Linked DNA regions of Arabidopsis thaliana. The protein of the gene in region 1 interacts with the protein of each later gene in a pairwise test. Each region holds a gene or a part of one and is shown on either strand. Other genes may lie near its edges. The genes, in order: LOL1 and SNI1.

The links.
Region 2: the proteins of LOL1 (region 1) and SNI1 interact in a two-hybrid assay, tested with the Arabidopsis thaliana proteins (one large-scale study listed by BioGRID).

What each region holds. Positions count from the first base shown.
Region 1 is NC_003070.9:11,765,794-11,770,782, forward strand, and holds LOL1 (lsd one like 1), read left to right. Parts: upstream 1-1,691; 5' UTR 1,692-2,249; coding exon of another isoform or gene 2,250-2,328; 5' UTR 2,329-2,459; coding exon 2,460-2,760; intron 2,761-2,847; coding exon 2,848-2,961; coding exon of another isoform or gene 2,962-2,978; exon of another isoform or gene 2,979-3,504; coding exon 3,505-3,614; coding exon of another isoform or gene 3,615-3,668; exon of another isoform or gene 3,669-3,759; coding exon 3,760-3,798; 3' UTR 3,799-4,256; downstream 4,257-4,989. UniProt on the Arabidopsis thaliana protein: Positive regulator of reactive oxygen-induced cell death. May be involved in the repression of the copper/zinc superoxide dismutase CSD1 and CSD2 that detoxify accumulating superoxide before the reactive oxygen species (ROS) can trigger a cell death cascade.
Region 2 is NC_003075.7:10,191,061-10,196,206, reverse strand, and holds SNI1 (negative regulator of systemic acquired resistance (SNI1)), read right to left. Parts: upstream 3,299-5,146; 5' UTR 3,224-3,298; coding exon 3,091-3,223; intron 3,017-3,090; coding exon 2,950-3,016; intron 2,856-2,949; coding exon 2,762-2,855; intron 2,671-2,761; coding exon 2,614-2,670; intron 2,519-2,613; coding exon 2,449-2,518; intron 2,365-2,448; coding exon 2,300-2,364; intron 2,205-2,299; coding exon 2,123-2,204; intron 2,030-2,122; coding exon 1,980-2,029; intron 1,902-1,979; coding exon 1,758-1,901; intron 1,681-1,757; coding exon 1,610-1,680; intron 1,545-1,609; coding exon 1,475-1,544; intron 1,391-1,474; coding exon 1,325-1,390; intron 1,209-1,324; coding exon 1,050-1,208; intron 969-1,049; coding exon 871-968; intron 769-870; coding exon 696-768; 3' UTR 545-695; downstream 1-544. Other genes in the region: AT4G18460 (D-Tyr-tRNA(Tyr) deacylase family protein), read left to right, coding at 41-181, 275-300, 382-444; AT4G18450 (Integrase-type DNA-binding superfamily protein), read left to right, coding at 5,046-5,146. UniProt on the Arabidopsis thaliana protein: Component of the SMC5-SMC6 complex, a complex involved in repair of DNA double-strand breaks by homologous recombination.

The DNA.
Region 1 (4,989 bases):
TCACATGTGAAGTGTAGTTGACATAACAAAATAATAAAGAAGAATAAGAAAAAAGAAAGACAATATAGAAATTGGCATTATAGAAATTGGCCCCATCAAATAATTAGACAACCGCAAACCAAAACTAAAGCTGCTCTCGATATGAAATCCAACCTAATAATCACAGTTATTGTTACCCTTACCCATGTTTATATCTTTCATATGTGTATATGCACATAAAAGTTCACGTTTATGATTTAGCCTATAGAATTGAGTGAACTGCCAAACAATAAATTGTCGGTTTGGTACAACAACAAAAGAGAGAGAAACTAAATTTCCCCTGATTGGGTAACTGAATTTCCTGTGTGCATGACCCATAGTAAGTTTTATTTTATTTGTTGCCTCAGTCTGGCCCTTGATAATTTGGATTTATGGCAAATATTGTTTTTTTTATTAACTTAGCATACCTATTTCTTCTTTGATCAAAAAAAAAAAAAAGCATACCTATTTCTTACGTGAGATAGTTTAACAAATGTGATGTATTTGATAAGAGAAAAAATATTGAATATGATAACTGAAAAATATTGTACTAATTTGATCAGAGTTTACAGTATTTTTATATATATATTAACAAACATGTCTATTAAACTCAACTTTTGCAGAAAGGTGAAAGTTTAACTTCCGTGCTCATCTTTTTTGTCGACGAGCGATTATCGTTTATAGTATATTAAATTAAAATATCATCGTAACATATCCATTTACATGTAAGAGTCCCATGGATCAATAATATGCATTAAAAAGCAATACTTAATTTTCAAGATATCTTTAAAAATAAAAAGATAACTCACGTTTAAATCGTGAAAAAATACTTCTCATAATTCAGAAAAATAATATTTCTAGAGTTTTTTTTGTTACTTAAAGATAGATTTTGTAAGTTTTCTATGTATTTTATAATTTTTAGTATTTACCAATTGTCTGTCGTCCAAAACAAAAGTAATAAAAAATTGTTGACTTTCAAAAATATAGATTGAAAAATGAATTTATAAACTTACTATTAGTTTAGAGTTATAGGAAGTTATTTAGAACAGAAAATGATTCATTTATAATTAAGTTTTTATATAATATTGGTAAAAACTCTAAGAAATAATTTATTTTCTTATTATAAAGTTAATTCAAGACTTTTAAATAATAATAAGCAATTTTTTTCTAGCAATAATTAATAAGTAAGTTAAAATTGTTTTTTTTTTTTTTATTCTAATATGTGTTTTTCTATACTATATTAGTTTAGTTTAAGTGCAACCCCTTCTAATTAAGTGGTGTATATTTGTATAATAAACATGTCTAGAAGACCAATTCTACATATTCACTATGCGGATATGAACCTGAGTAATGACAAAGCGACACCGTTATCACATATATGATAAAACTATATTACATATAAATTATTAAGTTTAAATGTGATTTCTGTAAATATTTTTGTCTACAAACAAAATTTAAGGAAGATTTAAAAAAAAATCATATCAGTATTTGTTTATTACAAGGAAAAAGTATAACCTTTTACAAGAAAATATACTTTTTCTCAAGAAATTTGCCTATTTTGCCACTAGAACTTCAGATTCTCAAAAAAAAAACTTGTTTTTTTGTTTTTCTTTTTTTTTATTTCAATTTTTCATTAATATACCCTCTATTTAACTGATAAAGGCAAGTTGCAAAAGAGGGTGTGTGTTTGCCCCACTCCTCACATAATGTCATAATAATACAATCTTCGAAGTTTTCGCAATTCACATTCCTTTTTTCCAAGTCCCAATACATACACATATACAAACACACACATATACACCCAAACGTTATGTAACTGCAAAAAAAATATCGAAACGAGATTCTACAATTAGTCTCTAGTCAAAGAGCTTCATGGCAATGGTGTGACCCCAAAGTTAGTCTTCACATGTTTCTTAAGTTTCAAACATTGAATTTTTTTCCTTTTATAAATAGTTAAGACTTATCTTCATTTTCTAAAATAGTCAAGATTTATATTCCTCTTAAAAAATAATTTATTTCCTTCCTAAGAAGAATTATTAGATTTATTTTCTTTGCTAGTATAGATTGATGAAAGTGAGGAAATGGGAGAAGAAATGAAGAACACAGGATGTGTCTTCTTCTTCTAAGTCACTAACAAAATCAACAAAGAGGAGAAGCCATTATTATATAATAGAGAGATTGAGAGAAGAGATTTATCCAAAAAAATATTGCAATTCTTCTTGGAGTGAATAATGCCAGTCCCTCTTGCACCATATCCAACACCTCCGGCACCGGCACTGGCTCCGTCGTACAACACTCCTCCGGCAAATGGTAAAATCTTTCTTAAATGGACAAGCTATTTTTAATCCAAAAAGATCCTCTGTTTTCATATTCTTTTACAAAAGTTTTAGTTTCTTATAAGATTGATTTTTTGGCTTTATTAAACAAGATTGTTTTTGGTCATGCATACTTGGAAAAATCAAATATTTTCAGATTCCCAATTTGTTTTACTCTTCATGGGAAAAAATTGCTCAATTATTTTCCCAGAACCACATTTATTTATTTCACATGTGTTCATAATCCATTTGAATGTACTTTTTTTGGTTAAAAAAATAAATAAAAACAACTTGAGATTTGTAGGAAGTACAAGTGGGCAGAGCCAGTTAGTGTGTTCAGGTTGCAGAAACCTTCTGATGTATCCCGTCGGAGCAACCTCCGTCTGTTGCGCCGTCTGTAACGCCGTCACGGCCGTTCCTCCGCCCGGTAAAATCCTTTAAACCATAACAAAAGAGTTTGGTTAAAGTCTTAAAGAGATCTTTGAGTTTTGTAATAACTGATTGGGCAATGCAGGAACGGAGATGGCACAGTTGGTATGTGGAGGATGTCATACACTCTTAATGTACATTCGTGGAGCTACAAGTGTTCAATGTTCTTGTTGTCACACTGTTAATCTCGCCCTCGAAGGTTTACATGCATATTGATCTTTATATATTACTTATTAAACAAAAAACATCGATCTTTATATTTGGTGTTTAATCAGATTTTTATTGACTGTTTTTGTTTGGGTTGTGGTTTAGGGAATATATACAAGAAACCAAATCCAAAATGAAAATATTTTTAATTTTTACGATCGAGGTCGTTATATATTACAAATTTATTACATGTTGTCGTTTATCGACAATATGTATTGTAAGGATTTAAACTCAGATTATATTGCAAACTAGGAAAAAATATTTTATTATATGTTCTGCTTAGTTTATTATGTGTTTTTATTCAAAAATACTTTTTACAATAAATTATATTGAGTTTTGGTTTTTATGATAAAACAATAAAACTAGGTTTGTTTATATATGTGTGGGTCTAGTTTAGTTTCGATTTTGAGATATAAGATAATTAAACCGAATTTTGGATTTATTTTGCAGGTCTTGTTTATGTTTAGGTTTAGGTTGTTAAAACATTTCGGTTTTAAGTGTATTAATAACTTTCATGTCTTGCAAATGTAATCAGCAAACCAAGTAGCGCATGTGAATTGCGGAAACTGCATGATGCTACTAATGTATCAATATGGAGCAAGATCAGTGAAATGTGCCGTTTGTAACTTTGTCACATCTGTTGGGGTTAGTTCTCTTTCTTTATCCAAAAAGATCGGTTTTAAATCAGTCGCAAACTAACAAAATTACTTCTCTTTTTTTTTTAACATCAGAACGTTTCTTTATATAATGTTTTATTTTTGGTTGCTATTGTTTTGATAATTGCTTGTAGGGTTCAACGAGCACGACTGATTCGAAGTTTAACAATTAAAACTTGGATCTATCTACCTATCAATACATATTGAGTTATGAGCAATATAGAGGAAGCATCAAATCTTTTTCACTCTCTCTTCGATCAAGAATCCGGCAGTGATGAGTTTGAAACCATTTTCGGAAGTAAATGAAATATGTAATTCGTCGAAATTTCTGACTTTGGTCTCTTTGTCCGTTTGTATAGAGCTATCTCTCTTCTTTGGTTTTTGTTTTGTTCTCTTAAGAAAAATTTGATTCACCAGTTTGTAAGAGTGATTCAGAAATCAAAGCTAGACTTTTTATGCATGAAAAAAATAGATTGTTTTAAATGCTTATGCATACTCCGATCCTTTTCAAGCATTTTAAAGCACAAAGGACGTCGGTGACAATTTTCATTTGTAAGTTCATCAAAATATATATGCTAAGAAAATTTGGAAATGTAAAGTGAACTTACAAATGAAAATACATGTAAGAAACCTTTATACTTGATAGTCTCAAAAATAAATTGTTGAACCAAAAAAACTATAAAGTATTATTAGAATGTGGTTTGGAATGAAGAGATCAATAAACCTTATATATTAGAGTAGAATTATAGATGTGGGACATTCTAATAAGTATATAAACCAAACAAAACTTAATCGTGATACAACAAAACAATGGGACGAATATGTAATAAATAAAACAGAACCCGAAAAGGTTTTGTCCCTCGATATTGACTAAAGTCTGAATAATTCCACGCAATCTGTCTATGGATAATTGGGGTAGACTTCACTCACGGGTTCATCTATGATTTGATCTTTGGTTGGTTTAAGTGTCTTTCGCATGTCTTTTCGTTTCTTTGGATCACGGCAAGATTCTTGACATAGATATATTTGAACATTTTGCTTGGAGATTTATTTAAGGATAAGATTTAATTTCGTTTTCTTTGTCTGATGTTCTACGTAGAAGAAGATCCATGTGACTTTGAAATAGATATCTCTTGATTTACTTTGGACTAGTCAATTAATCTGAATTAACCAAAATGCTACTAAGCTTATAGATAAAGGTGAAAAATATTTCAAGAATTTCGGCAGCCAAATCTATCGATACACATTTGACATTTCCTGTCATTGTCACGTCACTTACCAAAAACTAATGGCTAAAATCTCTGACCATATCAAATACTCCAACTTTTGTTCCATACCAATCTGGCATACAAAAAATGTCAATA
Region 2 (5,146 bases), on another chromosome or scaffold:
TTTGCTTGCCCTGGTCTTTGGATCATGTGTGTTAATACAGTTAGTCAATTCACATTATACGGATTCTTGAAAGGTAACAAACCAGATTTTCATGTCGCAATGCCACCTGATAAAGCGAAACCTTTTTACGCCTCTTTAGTTGAGAAATTCCAGAAAGCATATAATCCTGATGCTGTCAAAGGTCAAAACACACTCTCATTGATCTTTTCTTAATCAAAACTTCTCATTTTCTCTAGTCTTCTTGACTAAATTGGTTCTCTTTTTTAAAATACAGATGGTGTGTTTGGAGCTATGATGCAGGTAAGGAGATAACTCCTTTCAATAGCAAGGTTTGATTAGTATCTTGTGTGATTAAAACATGTTCTCTAATCATATTCAAAGGTCAATCTTGTAAACGATGGTCCGGTCACGATGCAGCTCGACTCACCTCAATCCACCAAGTAAGCCAAGATTGTTTTGCATAAACTTATCAGGCATGGATTTGTTACTAAAGCAAGTCTTGATATGTTCCATAAGTGAGAAAAAGGCATCAACAGAATCATAAGATCACTCATTTTGTATTGGCAAAACTATAGAATATATAAATTCATAATTCATTGATCTGTAACTCTTAATTCCTACATTACATTGTAACTTCTTTGCTTCTAATCCAATTGAAGTCTCTAGATTTGTTAAAATCTTGATTCCTAGATGCTTTAAGCTTTTGCCTTGAGTACCATTCCTGCAGTAAACAACACTTCTTTCCCAAACGGTAGAATCTCGATTTTCCTATAACAACCATTAAACTTTCGGTTGGACAAAGGAAAGCGGTATAGTATCTCGATTGCACAAAGAGAAAAAAAACTGAGAGTGAAAGAAACTGCAGCTTACTGATCTACTCGCTTTAGACTAGTAAATGCAGAGATGATACTACTGCATATCTCTGAAATAGAGTCTCCTTCGTGAGGGTCAGAGAATGTAAGCCGAGCCTGACGAATAGTTAAATACATTAGGAGGCCAAAAAAAGCTCTGAGAACGTGAAAGAAGAAACAAAGGTATTATTGTGTTACCAGAAAGGCATGGCCGATGAGGATCTGAACAATGTCAGGTCCTATCTTTTTAGTGATGTTCTTTGGATTTGTGCCATTTGAAAACGTCTTCAAGATCCCATTTAGTGTTTTCGAATCCTCTGCTTGAGGAACAGTTGTTCTTCGGGTACGTACAACAGGCTACAACATGAAAGAAATTTGGTCAGAGAGAGAAATCAGAGAAATAACTATATATTGTACATCATTTGTTGGAGAAGATAATCAGAGAGCGAGAGATCAGAGAATTAACAACAAACCTTAGGAATGTATTTAGTAAGGTATTGGAGAACAATCTCTAGCTTCCATTTAGGATCATCGAAAACCTGATTAAGAAATTTTCACTCAAGAACCACAGAGAGAAGAATTTTACAGACCACAGTGAGTTTCAGAAGTGGTTTGTCTCTTACCTGAAGAAATTTTGACAGCAAGTATCCATCATAAGTCAGCTCGTCGAGAATGATCTCCATTGCAGGGGTCCTGCATCAAATTGGATCACAAACATGGAGAAAACACAATTCAAAAGTGAGGCAGAAACTCATTACCTTACGCCATCTCCTCTAGAGGTAATCCCTTCTAAGTCAGCTTTCTTCTTTGATGTATCAAGCTCCATGATCTAAACAAGGAACAGAAACGTAAGAGCAAAAAGCTCCGAAAATTGAAACACTAATACTCTGGTAACCGAAAACTTACCATTACTAGAAGTTCTTTCATAGCAGTAAGCATGTCCTTGTGCAATTCTACCAAACTGATAGACTTTTCATCAGCATCAATGGATGCACACATTGTTGATAGATAATCTTTCATTAGAAGTTTGAAATTCACTTTTCTTGAAGCCTACAAGCAGAACCATAACATTAAAAATCACAAATAAATTACTATACTAGTTTCTGAGCCATTGATTGTGGGATGTACCAGAAGTAGATTCAGAAAAGATTCCTTTAAGAGACTCCAGTTCATAGTTTCTGGAGCACAAAAGGACACAAAAAGTTCTAAGAATTTCCCCAAACTTAACAAGATAAAGAGAAATCTTAAAACTATGAAGACATAATCTATACCTTCATACACTTGATTTCGGGGTGTGAAATCTAGCTTAAGAACATGAGCAAGATACTTGAACAGAAACATATTTCCAAGGATCTGCAGAAATCCAAACAAAAGAATCAAATAACAACAAGTTGTGTGAAAGTCTACCAATTTTTAAAGCTTATCTGCAACATAACAAATAAATCAACCTTTAAATCTGATTCCTCAGACTCATTAACTCTTTTGTTCATGTTCTGAATCAGCTGTTGCAAAACTGAAATCATAAAACAAACAAAAAATCATATTTAGCAAGAACCAACAAAAAGCTAACTCAAAAAGAGAAGACAAACGTCCTTACATAAGCTTCTCACTGATAAATCCTTTTCATCAGAATCAACATCAGACCCGAAATTAAACGGTGACCAAGCCTGCAAAACAAAACCATAAACAAACACATGAAATCAACCATCCCCACCATAACAAAGAATGAACAAAAACACATCAAAACTTTTGTAACAAGTACCTCGTCAACGATGTCCAACTGATCAGCTGAATCAGATACATAAACCCAAGGAAACCGCTGAAACAAAACATAATCATAATAAGCAAAACACTGAAACCTCATAAAAGTTATTGGACAAATTACACTACCAAAATCTTGCAACAAGTACCTGATGTAATTGAGTCAAAAGCTGGAAACTTGCTGTGATAAGTTCCAATGTTTTACCAAATCTCAATATCCTGAAAATCGCTTGGTACATTTTGCTTCAAAATTAAACAAAACCCAAATCAAAATCAGTACTCTTTTAGAGGTAAAAACTTCAAATTTCTTAGAAAAACAGAGTTTTTTATTTTTTACTTGGTTGGAGGAATTCCATTTTCGGGTACAAGTGAAGCAGCACGAACAGCTTCCAGATACTGCAAACCTAAGGTTTTTCATTCAAAGGATCAATACAATTAACAAAAACAAAGACGAAGATTGAAAATTGAGGAAACGTACGATCTTCGTTAGCGTCGCGACTGTCTTTAGCTCCGGTGGAATCAATCATAGCCAAGGTGTTAGCTTCCAAGCTACCGCCATAGCCACTCATCACTCTGCTTGTATTGTTATTACCCTTCGTCTCTTTCGACATCTTCTCTTTCACAATTTCACTAATTTCTTCTCAGCAGCACCAAAGAAGAAAACGAGAAGGAGAGATTGAAATCTTAATCCGAAATTAGAACGGAGAAAGATTTGTAGAAACCCTAATTCTCGACAGAAGTCAATTTTCCCGCCATAAGAGAATTGTTAGCAAAAAATAAATCACTTACTGGAATTTGAACCCGGCCCTCGAAGGTTAGAAGTTTGAACTTAGAACCAATAGAGACAATATTAGTTGGTTATAATAATTCATAAAAATATATATAATTTTTTTTTTGTAGTAAGTCTTCTTTTTCTTTAATACCGAGTGGTTCTGAATCAAAACTCAGAATACTTTCAGGCCCGAAATCATAACAGGTAATGTTAGTTCCGTTCCAAGCATCAATTAAAATCTTTTCTATATTGTAGTTTTTTTTTTAATCAATTTTGAAAATGCTTTTTGTGATTTGGATTCAGATTAAGTTTAGACTTGTGATTACAGAATTGGAAATTTTATACACATGACTTGTAGTGTGTTTATGAAGCTCGCTAGACTTATGAAGCTCTCGAGATTGAATACCAAAATTTAACAAATGACTACCTTAAGATAGAACCATTGCAACAATCTTTAATGCTCGAACAAAACACCTTTCTAATCGAAACGCTCTAGCACGCTTGGAGTCTCTCCAACACGAGACTTTCTTGAACTATATATGTGCCAAAGCAAGAAACTCTCGTAGTGGAGAACGAATGAATGAATCTTAAACGATTGATATAAAAATTAGCAGATAGTTTTTTAATATTAGCTGATACGTACTTGAGGTGACTTGAACCTACCATATAAAGTATCTCTAGCTCATTCTCTATAATACATTGAATAGAGATATTAATCTCTTTTTCATTTTTTTTCAATTGTAAGCTATGTTTCAAAGCGTGTGGAATTTATATATTCTATTCACCTCTCATCATTGTTTCAAATCTTTGGACTTACGGAAAATGATCTCATACAAATAATACTTGGATAAAAAGTTAGTGATGACTTAGCCCTTACATGTTTTTTCTTATTTCGTTTCACATTTTGATAGCGTTTAGTTATCATTATATTATATTCTCTAGGCAATATGCGTTAAACTGTGATCGTATGGTAAAATAATAACTTCTAACAAACTTAACTAAACACCGAAGAATTCTTTATCGATGTATGAAAAGCTAAATCAGTATTAAGGTTCATCAATCTAACAGTAGAAACAAGTCATTTAGAAGCTATATTTCTTTTTATAACCAAAAAAATAGTTAAAAAGTTTTTTAAAATGCGACGAGCGTGGAACGAAACATTAAAACAATAAACTTATGTTTGATTTAATAATCACAATTCTCCAAAACGGATTTGTGCCTCTGGTGGGAACACGTCATAGATTCTCATGAAGCGTTAAACTGAAGATTAATATGTTTATTATACAAAAGTGAATTAATACTCTGCATCTAGTCCTTTTCAAGAGTACACAATCTGCACTTTTTTAATGAAAATAGTACACAATCTTTATACTTCAAACTGAGGTAACATTATTAAATTAATTTATTGAAGTTGACTTAAGATGATCTATTCACATAATGGTACGTGTGTGTGTGTATACACAGAAAACCCCTGATTTTATGTGGAACCTAAAACCCTCCATGAAATGCGGTCAGTACCTTAGAACACAAGTTTCACCAACTGTACTTCCCAATTATCCTGCCGCAGATTTCCCATTCAACGTACACACAAAACCCCCAAAGCAACAATCTCTTTAAAATGCCCTAAATCTCACCAACACATACTCCTCTCTGATTCAACAATGGCTTTTGGCAATATCCAAGAACTAGACGGCGAGATCCTAAAGAACGTTTGGGCGAATTACATCGGAACACCACAAACCGATACAAGATCAATTCAAGT